Schizosaccharomyces pombe: one gene and its partner. The protein of the gene in region 1 purifies or fractionates together with the protein of each later gene. This does not show direct contact. Each region holds a gene or a part of one and is shown on either strand. Other genes may lie near its edges.

Evidence for each region.
Region 2: the proteins of lsd2 (region 1) and cxr1 purify together in Schizosaccharomyces pombe (affinity purification with mass spectrometry, with the first as the bait; one study listed by BioGRID). This does not show direct contact.

Annotation. Positions count from the first base shown.
Region 1 is NC_003424.3:444,797-451,490, forward strand, and holds lsd2 (putative histone demethylase SWIRM2), read left to right. Parts: upstream 1-1,973; coding exon 1,974-4,445; intron 4,446-4,498; coding exon 4,499-5,734; 3' UTR 5,735-5,930; downstream 5,931-6,694. Other genes in the region: Fe-sensing transcription factor Fep1, read left to right, coding at 1-467; meiosis specific arrestin family membrane adaptor Ste7, read right to left, coding at 6,414-6,694. UniProt on the Schizosaccharomyces pombe protein: Catalytic component of the SWM histone demethylase complex that specifically demethylates H3K9me2, a specific tag for epigenetic transcriptional activation, thereby acting as a corepressor.
Region 2 is NC_003423.3:3,834,887-3,839,197, forward strand, and holds cxr1 (splicing factor Cxr1), read right to left. Parts: upstream 2,379-4,311; coding exon 957-2,378; 3' UTR 511-956; downstream 1-510.

The DNA of each region.
Region 1 (6,694 bases):
TGAAGTTTCATTTACCTCCTATCCTTCCTGTTGGCGAGTCAGTCTGTTTGCCTCCTCGAACTTCTGCAAAGCCAAGGATTGCTGAAGGAATTGCTTCCTTACTTAACCCCGAAGAGCCACCCTCAAATTCCGACAAGCAGCCATCAATGTCAAATGGACCGAAATCAGAAGTTTCACCTTCGCAATCTCAGCAAGCTCCTTTAATCCAATCCTCTACCTCGCCGGTTTCTTTGCAGTTTCCTCCTGAAGTTCAGGGATCAAATGTAGATAAACGCAATTATGCTTTGAATGTTCTTTCGCAATTGCGTTCTCAGCATGATTTAATGATTCAGGAGTTGCACAATTTAAATCAGCACATTCAACAAATAGATGAATGGCTGAGGTCCTCTGACAATGAAAATATGGCTTCTGAACATATTAAATCCTCAACCCCTGCTGTTGTTGCATCTGGAGCTCTTCAAACATAAACTTGATTGGCATGTTTGTCGTGCGGCATATTTATTTATGGTAAACAAATTAGATATTATCCCGTTTAGCTGTCTATTACTTACAAGCATGACATTGTATACTATGAGTTTAGGGTAAAATACTTCACATGATTCTTATTGGTCTTTTGTTTTGCGTTAGTTTTGGTATTGGCCAAGTCCGTCTGCGGTGTTATATTCGTTAAGAGCTGGAAAATAATATTCAGTCCTTAGCGATTTACCGTTAAATTTAGAGTTAACATATATGTTTTTAATGAAATCCTATGTGGAGCATTTTTTATGATATTAATACGCATCGAAAAAGCAGATATTGAGAAAAAATAATACTACCGGATTTATATGGTATGTAGATAGTTAATATATTAAATATATTTAAACTGCCCGAGTGCAAACTCATTTGGAAATTGTCAATTCATTAATATATTTTTACAATTTTTCGGGGGAAAAAACATTTGTATACAACTATTTAAAACGGAAAATGGAGTTGCTTGTAAAAAGCAGTATCCATGGTTAATTAGTTCATTCGCAAAAAGTCATTGCTTGACTTTTAAAACTATATGATTAGGCTGAAATTTTAATTGTTCATTACAGCACATATATAAAAAACTTACACTTAATTTTCAGCTCAAATAACTTCGCTATTCATTATTTAATCTATTTAAATCAATAATAATGTAATTATGATATATATCATTTAGTTTTTCTGTTAACAACCAACAGTCCCGTGTTCTAGTGGTATGATTTCTCCTTCACACGGAGAAGGTCCCGGGTTCGATCCCCGGCGGGACTAGACTTTTTGTAAAATTCAACAATAGCGAACTTGAACCATAATGAGATGTTTTAGTATAATATTGATAAACAGTTAATCTACACTACTACTCTAAACATCCTAAGCTTTTCTGAATCTTAACAGCAATGTAACATATTTTTGGATTGTTATAATAATTTACTCCATTTGTTCTATTCTCCGCTGACTATACTTTCAAGTGTATTGTAATATTGTTTTCTGCAAGTTGAAATCAACGAGTTTAGGTAGTAGTCTTTAGCATGAAAGAGCTAACACATTAATGCAATAATTTGGAAAATGAATACAAATTAATGAACTTCACATTTTTCGTTCATCATTTCCAAAGTGTTAAGCCTGTAGAAGAGAGCAAATGCGATCGTAGAATAATACTCGCAATATGAATCAGATAAATAGGCAATTGAATGCCTCTCGGGCGTTCTTCATGGTATTCAAATAATTAAAGACACATGTATTATCTAAAAGAAAAATATAAATTCTGGATAGTCTGATAGATGATTGATTGGACTTGACATAAAAATGCTTATAATATTTGTCGTTATCCCATTATGCTATAATATTTAGAACGATATTTTTTTAACGAATCGTTAAGGATATGTTGCGCAAAGTACTTTGTAAACACCAAATCGAGATTCAATGAGATTTTACCACCTCGGTTCACTTTGATTGTATCTTTTTACTCTATGAACACGAGCGAGAATGATCCAGATGGTCATTATGACTTTCCAGAAATGACAGAGCATCATTCTGACCGGGCTTCATCATATGCTAACGCCAACAACGTTAATTCAACTCAACCTCAATTGGTGAGTAGTGAACAAGCGCTTTTAGCTATTTTAGGAGGTGGATTACAGTCTATCACACCTAATTCTGTTAATCAGAACGCGTATTCAAGGTCAACTTATCGTACAGATGGCGGCTTAAATTCACAGCCAGTTAGCTCACTGAACAATCAATGGGGAAACTATAATCCAGCATTTTTACCTTCTAGATATGATTCCTCTTTTCACCCTTACACAATTTCGCAAGCGGCTAATCAACCATTTCCTCAGCATCTTTTAGGCAATTCAAATGCAGGTGTCGCTCAGCAGTCTGGAATGAGAACAATTGGATTACCTCCAACTGTAGGTTCCTCTTTTCCTCAACAAAAGTCATCCACATACGAAAACTTTTTTGATGCAAACTCTCCGTCTTCTCAGCAATTTCCATCTACATATCCTTCACGATCACAAAACCCGCTTTCTTCCAGTGGAGATGGTTCAACGGCAATTCATGCAGGCCCCATTCAACACCAAAACTCAAATGCCTTTTCCAATTATCCGTATCCATTAGACGCTTCTCATTTATCTTCTCAGCAACTTTTGTCGATGTATCGGGATCAAGTTTCTCATGGAGTTACCCCATCTACATTCCGCAATCATGAAAGTTTTATGCCTACACAGTTGGTATCAGCAACAGAATTATCTAAAAGTGTTGATAACGCAGTTTTGCCAATACCACCTACTACTGCACCGGCAGTTGTATCGCCTCCTGCTTCATCTTTCCCTTTAATGTCTTCAGCTGCTACATCTGGTAATATTAGTAGTCCTGCACTTTTTGATTCAGAGTTAGGTGCTAGGCCTGAAGGTTCTGTTGCAATTGAGCCGTCTAGAGTACTGCTACAATGGTCTAGTCAATCATCATCTCATACTATACCATCTGCAGGAGCCAGTATCCCTACATCTTCTTTAAAGTCGTTTTTTGAGCATGCCGCTGAAGCAGCTCGTAAATGCAATCTCGATCCGAGGGCCTTAGAAAGTTTTGAACAACACATGCTTTCTGATCGTTTACACGATCCCGTTGTATTATTTCATTATTTCCAAATTCGTAACAGCATTTGTTGGCTTTGGATTAAAAATCCTACGCATGCCATATCCAGAGTTGAAGCTCAGGGCGTATGTGTCGATCGATGTTTGTTCCAATTAGCCTCTTTAGCTTATGAATTCCTTGTAAGGTATGGATATATAAACTATGGATGCTTGTCCTTTGATTCATCCTTTACGAATGAAACTAATACTGGCACAACATCCAGTTCTGCATCGAAGCAGAAGACTATTGCTGTAGTAGGCGCTGGTCTTACTGGTTTGATATGTGCTAGACAACTTACTGGCTTATTTTCTCAGTATTCTTCATCTTTTTTGTCAAAGAATGAGCTTCCTCCTAAAGTTATTATACTTGAAGCTAAAGAAAGGACAGGAGGTCGTATTTACTCTCGAGCATTGCCTGTTTCTCATACTTCGGCTACCCAAATTAACCATCATACATCTAATTCGAATTCTATTTCTAGTAATTCCACTTCTTTAAACCCCAAGGATGTTACTGACCCGTCCCATATTCCTTCAGCAATTGATTTGGGATTTCAATTTTTATTTTCGCCTATGGACGATATTTTGCTTAACCTTTTAAATAAACAATTGGGTATTGAAGTTACAGAGATGACTGGCTCAGATTTAGTTTACGATGAGACCGATACTAAAGTATTAGACATGGTTGAGGTGAAAAAATTAAACATTTTATGGGAAAAACTTTTGGAATATGTTTCTGTTTGCTTTTTTATTAACGTTGAGGAATCTGTTCGTATTTCTTGGATATCCCAATTTCAGTTGTTTATAGATGAAATGTTCCCTGATCATTTGTCCAAATCACTCTCATTAAATGCGTCACATGAATTTTCCTTCAAAAAAACAATGCTAATACTAATTGATGAAGTTTCTTCTTATGCCAAACTCGGGAACAGTCAAAAGAAATTTCTGATATGGTGTTTTAAGGTCGCGGAATTGGACGATACTTTGTACCCTCTTAACACAGTTGATACAGACTTCTCCAAAGATATTTTGATTCCAAAAGTTGCTAGAAGAGGTCTATCTCAACTGCCATGGGCATTACAATCTTATCCATCTCCCTTAAATATTCATTATGAGAAGTTTGTATCTAAGGTAACTATTGAAAATGATAAATGTACCCTTGATTGTAAGGACAACTCTTCTTATGAGGTTGACCAAGTTGTAATTGCTTGCTCTCCTTCTCATTTTTCTTCAAATATAGAGTTTTCACCAGGTCTTCCTAATTTCGTGACTGAAAACATAAAAAGTATAGATTTCAAACCCGGAAAAAAGGTAGGTTTTTATTTATTTATTTTTTTTTCAATTATAAAGTTAACATTGAGCAGGTTATTCTTCGTTATGCAGCTGCTTTTTGGCGAAAGAACATTAGATCATTTGGTATTATACCAAAATCATTAAGTCAAGAAATGAACAATGATGAGAATGATGGTAAATCTTGTTTTGTTTTGAGAATATGGAATATGCTTCCTGAAACTGGTGTCCCAATATTAGTAGCGGATATCAATCCACAAATGACAAGTTCTTCTTCTAACGAGACCTCCCACTTAATTCAAGAATTACACAGTCTAATAGTAGATCATTTTCAAAATGATTCAAACAGCTCAGCTGATTTATTAGATGCTTGGGTCACAAACTGGTCGAGAAATGGTGTCTATGACGGCTTAAATTCTTATCCAAATTTTGCCAATGATAAGCAGCAATATGAAAAAAGATTTAGGCAAAGTCAGTTATCGTATAATTTGGGTCGCTTGCATATTGCTGGAGACTATATATTCAGTTGCGTAGGCTGTAGGACATTACAAAGATCCTTTTTATCTGGCCTTTCCGTATGTACAGGGATTATTGATTCATTGGCTCCAATTTCCTTAACCATACCTATCATTGGAGAAACCTCTCGCAAAGAATTGGATCAGTTTTTGCGAAACTCTAAAGTTAATAATTTTGATCCCAATGCTGAAGCACAGCGTCACCTTTCTTATCAGGCAAGATATAGGTTGAAAAAGCAGGAAAGACTTGACGAGCATAAGGAAGAACAGGAACAGCTTGTAACTGAACTTCTTGGTTATTTACCTGAACCTCCTTCCAAGCCGAATGCAAATCCCTTTTTACTTTACCAAAAAATGCAGTGGCATGTATGCCGTGCACTTGCTGATGAAGACAAGCGAAGGTTAACAGGAGATAGTACAGCGAAGGCTACTATTAATGAAACACGTGCCAAACTAGGGAAAACTTGGCGCCAGCTTGATGATTTAGGTAAAAAACCTTGGATTGATGAAATTGCAGCACAAAGAGAAGCTTATGCTGGAAAAATTCTTCGTTATCAGCGCCTAACTAAAGAATATGAAATGAGAGCCGAGCAAATACGAAATGATTATGCGGCCAAATGCCAAGATGAACCTATTCCCGATGATGAAGCAAGATTGTTTATGCAAGCTCAACGAGAAGAAGAGCAAAGAAAACAAACTCAGGATGACAACATTTCCAAAAGTCGAGAGGCTAGCGACGAAGAGTATCATGACGATGGATCTTCTGATTCGGGTTATAATGGAACACGATATTAAAAGAAAAAAAATCAAATCACATATTGTTTTTTAAAAGTTTAGTTACTTCGCATCATTACAAATACCCTTAAAATTTTATGTACATATATATTCTCGTCATGCCCTAAATGAAGCATTTTATCAAATTGCTAATTTCAGCAAATTGTTTAAGGAAAATCTAAAATACATGTACACTTCTCGTTAGCCAGTAGCCAACCTGATTTAATGCCGAAGATGTAAGAGATAAAAGATGATATCGTAAACACAGCTACTACTCTCACTCTTTAGGATGTAATGCATGTTACCATTTTGCCATTAACATAATATTCAAGCAACAAATGATATTACTAGTACGCTTGTGAAATAAATAAAAAAATAAGTTATTAGAAAAAAAGTAATTAAAATTAACTAAGAATCATTAAATTAAGCCAAAACAGATGCGGTTGTATTTGTTGCAGACACCATGGACACTATGTATCTCAAAGCAAGTACTACAACGAAATAGTTAAAAAAAAAACATAAGATGCATATGATATTAAAATAAAATAATATAAAAATGCCGAGTTATTGACTCCAGTCCATATTTGGACATGTATAATTAAAAGCATTATCCAAAAGTTAATAGGAGATGGCATCTCAATTGTCAAAAAAAAAGTGGTTGTTATAAAGACTCGTAATTCAGGAAGTCTGTTATAAATAATTAAAGAGACTGTAAGACTTCATTGATAAGAACATCGAATTCTTTAGCATACGCCATGTTCAAAGCGTGTGGATCTTGTAGCATATTGTCGTCAGGCAAAGGGGAGCTAAGACTTGAATCTGAACAGTATGATACGGAATTAGATCGTTCATAACCCATTGGCAAAGTAGCTAGATACAGAGCATTGGATGAACTTCTTCTGGAAGGCGATACGGCACAGTGATTATTATGAACTTGATCTTCAGCAGTAGGCAAGCTTTCAGAAAATGATAGATTTCTAT
Region 2 (4,311 bases), on another chromosome or scaffold:
TTTATACTTAATCGCAAAACTGAATTTGATGATGTATTCGTATTAATGGGAAAGGCTACGATTTAAAAAGATTTTGAGCCTATACTATAAGTGCGTTTTCTGTCAGTTGTTTATTGCGACAGTCGCCCCCCTGGCGTAGTAGAAGTTGCAAGTCGCGTTGTTACTCTGTAAACAAGAGCTTTAAAAATGGAGTAGATTTAAATGGATGAAAAGTTAATAATAGATTTTAATTGAATGGATTTTTCGATAAATAGGGAGTATCATTCAAATAAAATTGAATTTAGAGGCGGTTGATTTTTGGTTGAATGAAATGTTTTGAAAATGGCGCTGATCATTTAACTAAACTCATACCTAAAAGAACGAATGATTAAACCAGAAGCAACTTAAAAGTTGTTTATCAATGGGAAATCTCAATAAGCACTTACATACCTTGCCTAAACTGCATTCTCCAGCGACCTAAAAATCTCAGTGCGATAATTCTGAAGTCCATCATTACTATTAAATTTAATCTTTTATATACGTCGTATGAAAACCTTTTTCTTGACTATAAAAATCATGACAAATGAAAATTTCGGCTAAAAAAACGTAGCATTTCATATCATAAACAGGGAGAGATGAATATAAAAACCGTCAATCCTTAGAAAGGAAACGTAATGAAGCTATGTCCAACAAAAATTTAGTTCAAGCTTTTCTTCGATAATTCGAATTCATGAACACATGTAAAATGCTTATTAATCAATTATGCTAAGGGACTCTCTTGATTTAACGTCCAAAATAACAGATAGAGTTTACAAGAACTCTCACGTTTCTCGAAACAATAATTCTCCGTGATTCATTATGAACATCAAACTTATTAGAATAGATGGAAAATTATTCATACTTTATAAAAACCAAGAATGATGATAAAAAGTATGAGACATGCCATTATAAAAAATTCAATCGCAAGTACTTTTACATTACTCTTCAGCTGATAAATGCTTTCCTTGTGTGTTAGGAACAGGCATGGTATCAGAGTTGCCGTTTTCAGGAATATGCATTTGATCAGGTACGAGGGCAGGAGATCCAATCGAAATTTCCATGCCAATCGGTGCACCCCTCGTTTGCAGGGCTAAGGGGGAAGGTGCAACAGCCGGATATGGACTAAACTGAGCCTGGGGTGGTAAACTCATTGCCGGAAATAATGAGGTAGCAGGAATAGTAGTTTGTGAAACCTGAGACTGATAATTCAAGGCAGGAGCCGCAATTGGATTCTGATTCCTTCCCCAAGATAATCGGATACGAGAATTGCCCAAAGGATAACCCTGCAACTGATTGATAGCAATTTCAGCAGACTGTCGGTTGACAAATTGCACAAATCCACAACCTTTTCCAGGTGGAATTTTGACATAAACAATTTCTCCAAAATTTTGAAAAAGATACTTAAGCTCCTCTTCAGAAACAAATTTTGAGAGACCGCCAACAAATACGGTTGAGTTTGCTGTGTCAGCAAACTGAGGAACAGGCTGTGCAGCACTATAAAATCCAACTGGTGGCATACTAACAGGTACAACGTTCACAGGACTAAAAACATGAGCCTTACTTTTAGGAGTGGCTAATCCCACCCGAATAGGACGATCACCACAAATTTGACCCTGCATTTCTGCCAATGCAGATTTCTGATCATTTTCGTCCGTAAAACGGACAAAACCATATCCTCTTGACACATTTGTTTGAGGATCAGTCATGATTTTGGCCGACTTGCATGAGTTATATCGAGATGCGAAGAGAGAATACACATCAAACTCATTGACATTGGGTGACAAGTCTCCCACAAATATGGAATATTCTGAGGCCTTTGAAATAGACTTTTCACGTAATCCGCCTCCAGAGGCCCAATTAAGTTTAAACAAATGATTTGTACCAGGAATTGGTTTGTTGTTCATACTCATCGCGCTTGAAGCTTCATGAGGAGATGCGAATTCGACAAAACAATAGCCAGCATTCATGCCTGTGTACCTGTTACGAATAAGCTTTACTTTGACTGCCTTTCCTAAAGTATTCCAAACTTGCTGGATAAATGCTTCAGTAACCCAAGGCTCTAATTCACCCATCCAAAGCGTCGTTTTTTGATAGACGTTTTCATCTCTTGATGAGCCATAGTTGCTAGTATTTTCGGAATTTCCAGATTCGTTGGATGCCATATTTGGAGAAATCGGATCTTGAGATTGTACGGGTTCATCATTTGATTTATAATCATTGTCCACTTCTTGGTCATCTTGTTCATTGAAGGAGTTATCTTTAACCAAAGTATCCGTATTAGCTGGTTGTTGGCTTTGTTCGTCTATCGAATTATGCGATTCCTTGGGTAAAATTTCAGACTCAGTCGGTGAGGAAGACATTTTAAAAATTTTAGCAATTAATAAAAGAGTGGATTATACTAGAAACCAAAAAAAATCGACACACTATGCTCACGGTAGAGACAGAAGGCTGAACTAAGTTAGATGAAAGTTTCGACAATGGATATTTGTGAAGATGAAACAATGAATAAATCGCCAAAAGGACTAATTATCACCACAAAAATGAGATGATGTACTGTGTATACAAAACACAAACTCTTAAAATAACTTTGGTGAGTTAACGGAAATAACTTATACGGTTAGTTGTCCAAGAAAAAGTACAAACTGGATTGTAGTCGATCAAACACAAAGTGAAATGAACGAAGGTAGAGAAAATTATTAGTTGGTACTAGGCCAATTAGTTAACTCAACGATCCAAACGTAAAAAAATATGAATCAAAGTTAAGTAGTAAGTCTTCGATAACTGATAAAGAGTCTAGAAGAAATTCAAATAATAAATTAGGAGTTTCCAAAAAAAAGAGGTGTCTTTAATAAAAAAAAATCTAATTCAAGGAAAAAAAACTTTTCAATGTTTAATTGCAAACGAATTATCAGTTAATGATAATATATTAAATTAATTGAAAAGTCAACTCAAAAGTGAAAATGTATGCTTGTAAAATGCACACAATATGCAATGTCTAAAGGAAAACGGAAGAGAAAGTTCAATTTAAACGGCAGAAGGAATAACAACGATACTTGGGTATCGCTGAACGCAGAAACGAAAAACGAATATAGCAATTAACGTAAACACGAGAGTCTACTGCAATCAAAATAACAGCAATTGCGCTTTAAACCTACGAGCAAAAAGAAAGAGAAGAAAATATTAAAATAAAAGACCTCAAAAAAAAAAAAAAGCGAAATGCTAACTTCAAAATCAAAATGCAATTTTTAACTCAAATTTGACGCAATTCCCTCGATATTACTTTCTATATGTAGCTCAATTAAAATATAAGAAAATGAGAAATAATATAAGCACAAGGACAAAGGAAACAAAGGAATTGTTCAAATACGGGGTTTCGATGTTGTAGCGTAGGTAAGTTGACTTATCTATCAGCACATTGTTAGGCAATCTATTTATGCAATTATAAATTATTGATTTTTTTAAGGTTTTTCATTTACATAAGTATTTTTTTGAATTTTATTTGTGCAACCATGTTATTAATTATGTCTTTTGAATTTCTTTTCTTATGCAGTTTTGGATTCCTGCGCAGGGTTCCATCGCTTCAGTCATAGTAGTAAAATGAGGTAAATGATTTACGTTGCTTGAAATGTGCAGATCCTACGGATGCGTCATATGGTGCTGGCAAAAGAAAAATGCGAATTTGTAGGTTTAGAGACAGCTTAAATTTTGCTTTCACCGTTTCCATTAATTCTATAAACTTTCATTTTTCATACAGTTGTTTGTCTTTGTATCCACCTGGCTAAATACATTAGAGGTTAAGCGCCAACACTCAGTCATATAAATATTGAATAGTAAGCCGCTAAAGAGAATTCAAGCGACACTACTTGATCAATTTTTAATGAAAGATACCATTATAAATTTAGAAATACAAATAATAATAGTTTTGAAATTTGGTTCTGCTATCAATACCTACGCATTGCACTTTAAAGACAAAGTAATTAGGAAAAAGGTAATGAATATTTTTAATTTAAAAAAAAAAAAAAAAAAAAAAAAAAGAAATTTAGGTATTAAGTAAAGCCATATAGCTTAAAATGCATGGGTATGTAACAGTATTCATATAGATTAGTTGAATTTAGGGGGAAACAACTTTAGAAGAAAGTAGAACATATAAAAACATTAATTAAAATATTTGTTTATTAAAACAATTTACAGCTGCTTTGATACTGCACGGACGATGCTTAAGCTATTTGAAACGTTTAATTAGAAAATTTGCAAAATGCTGCTTGGGAAACTAAGCAAGAAACATCAAAAATT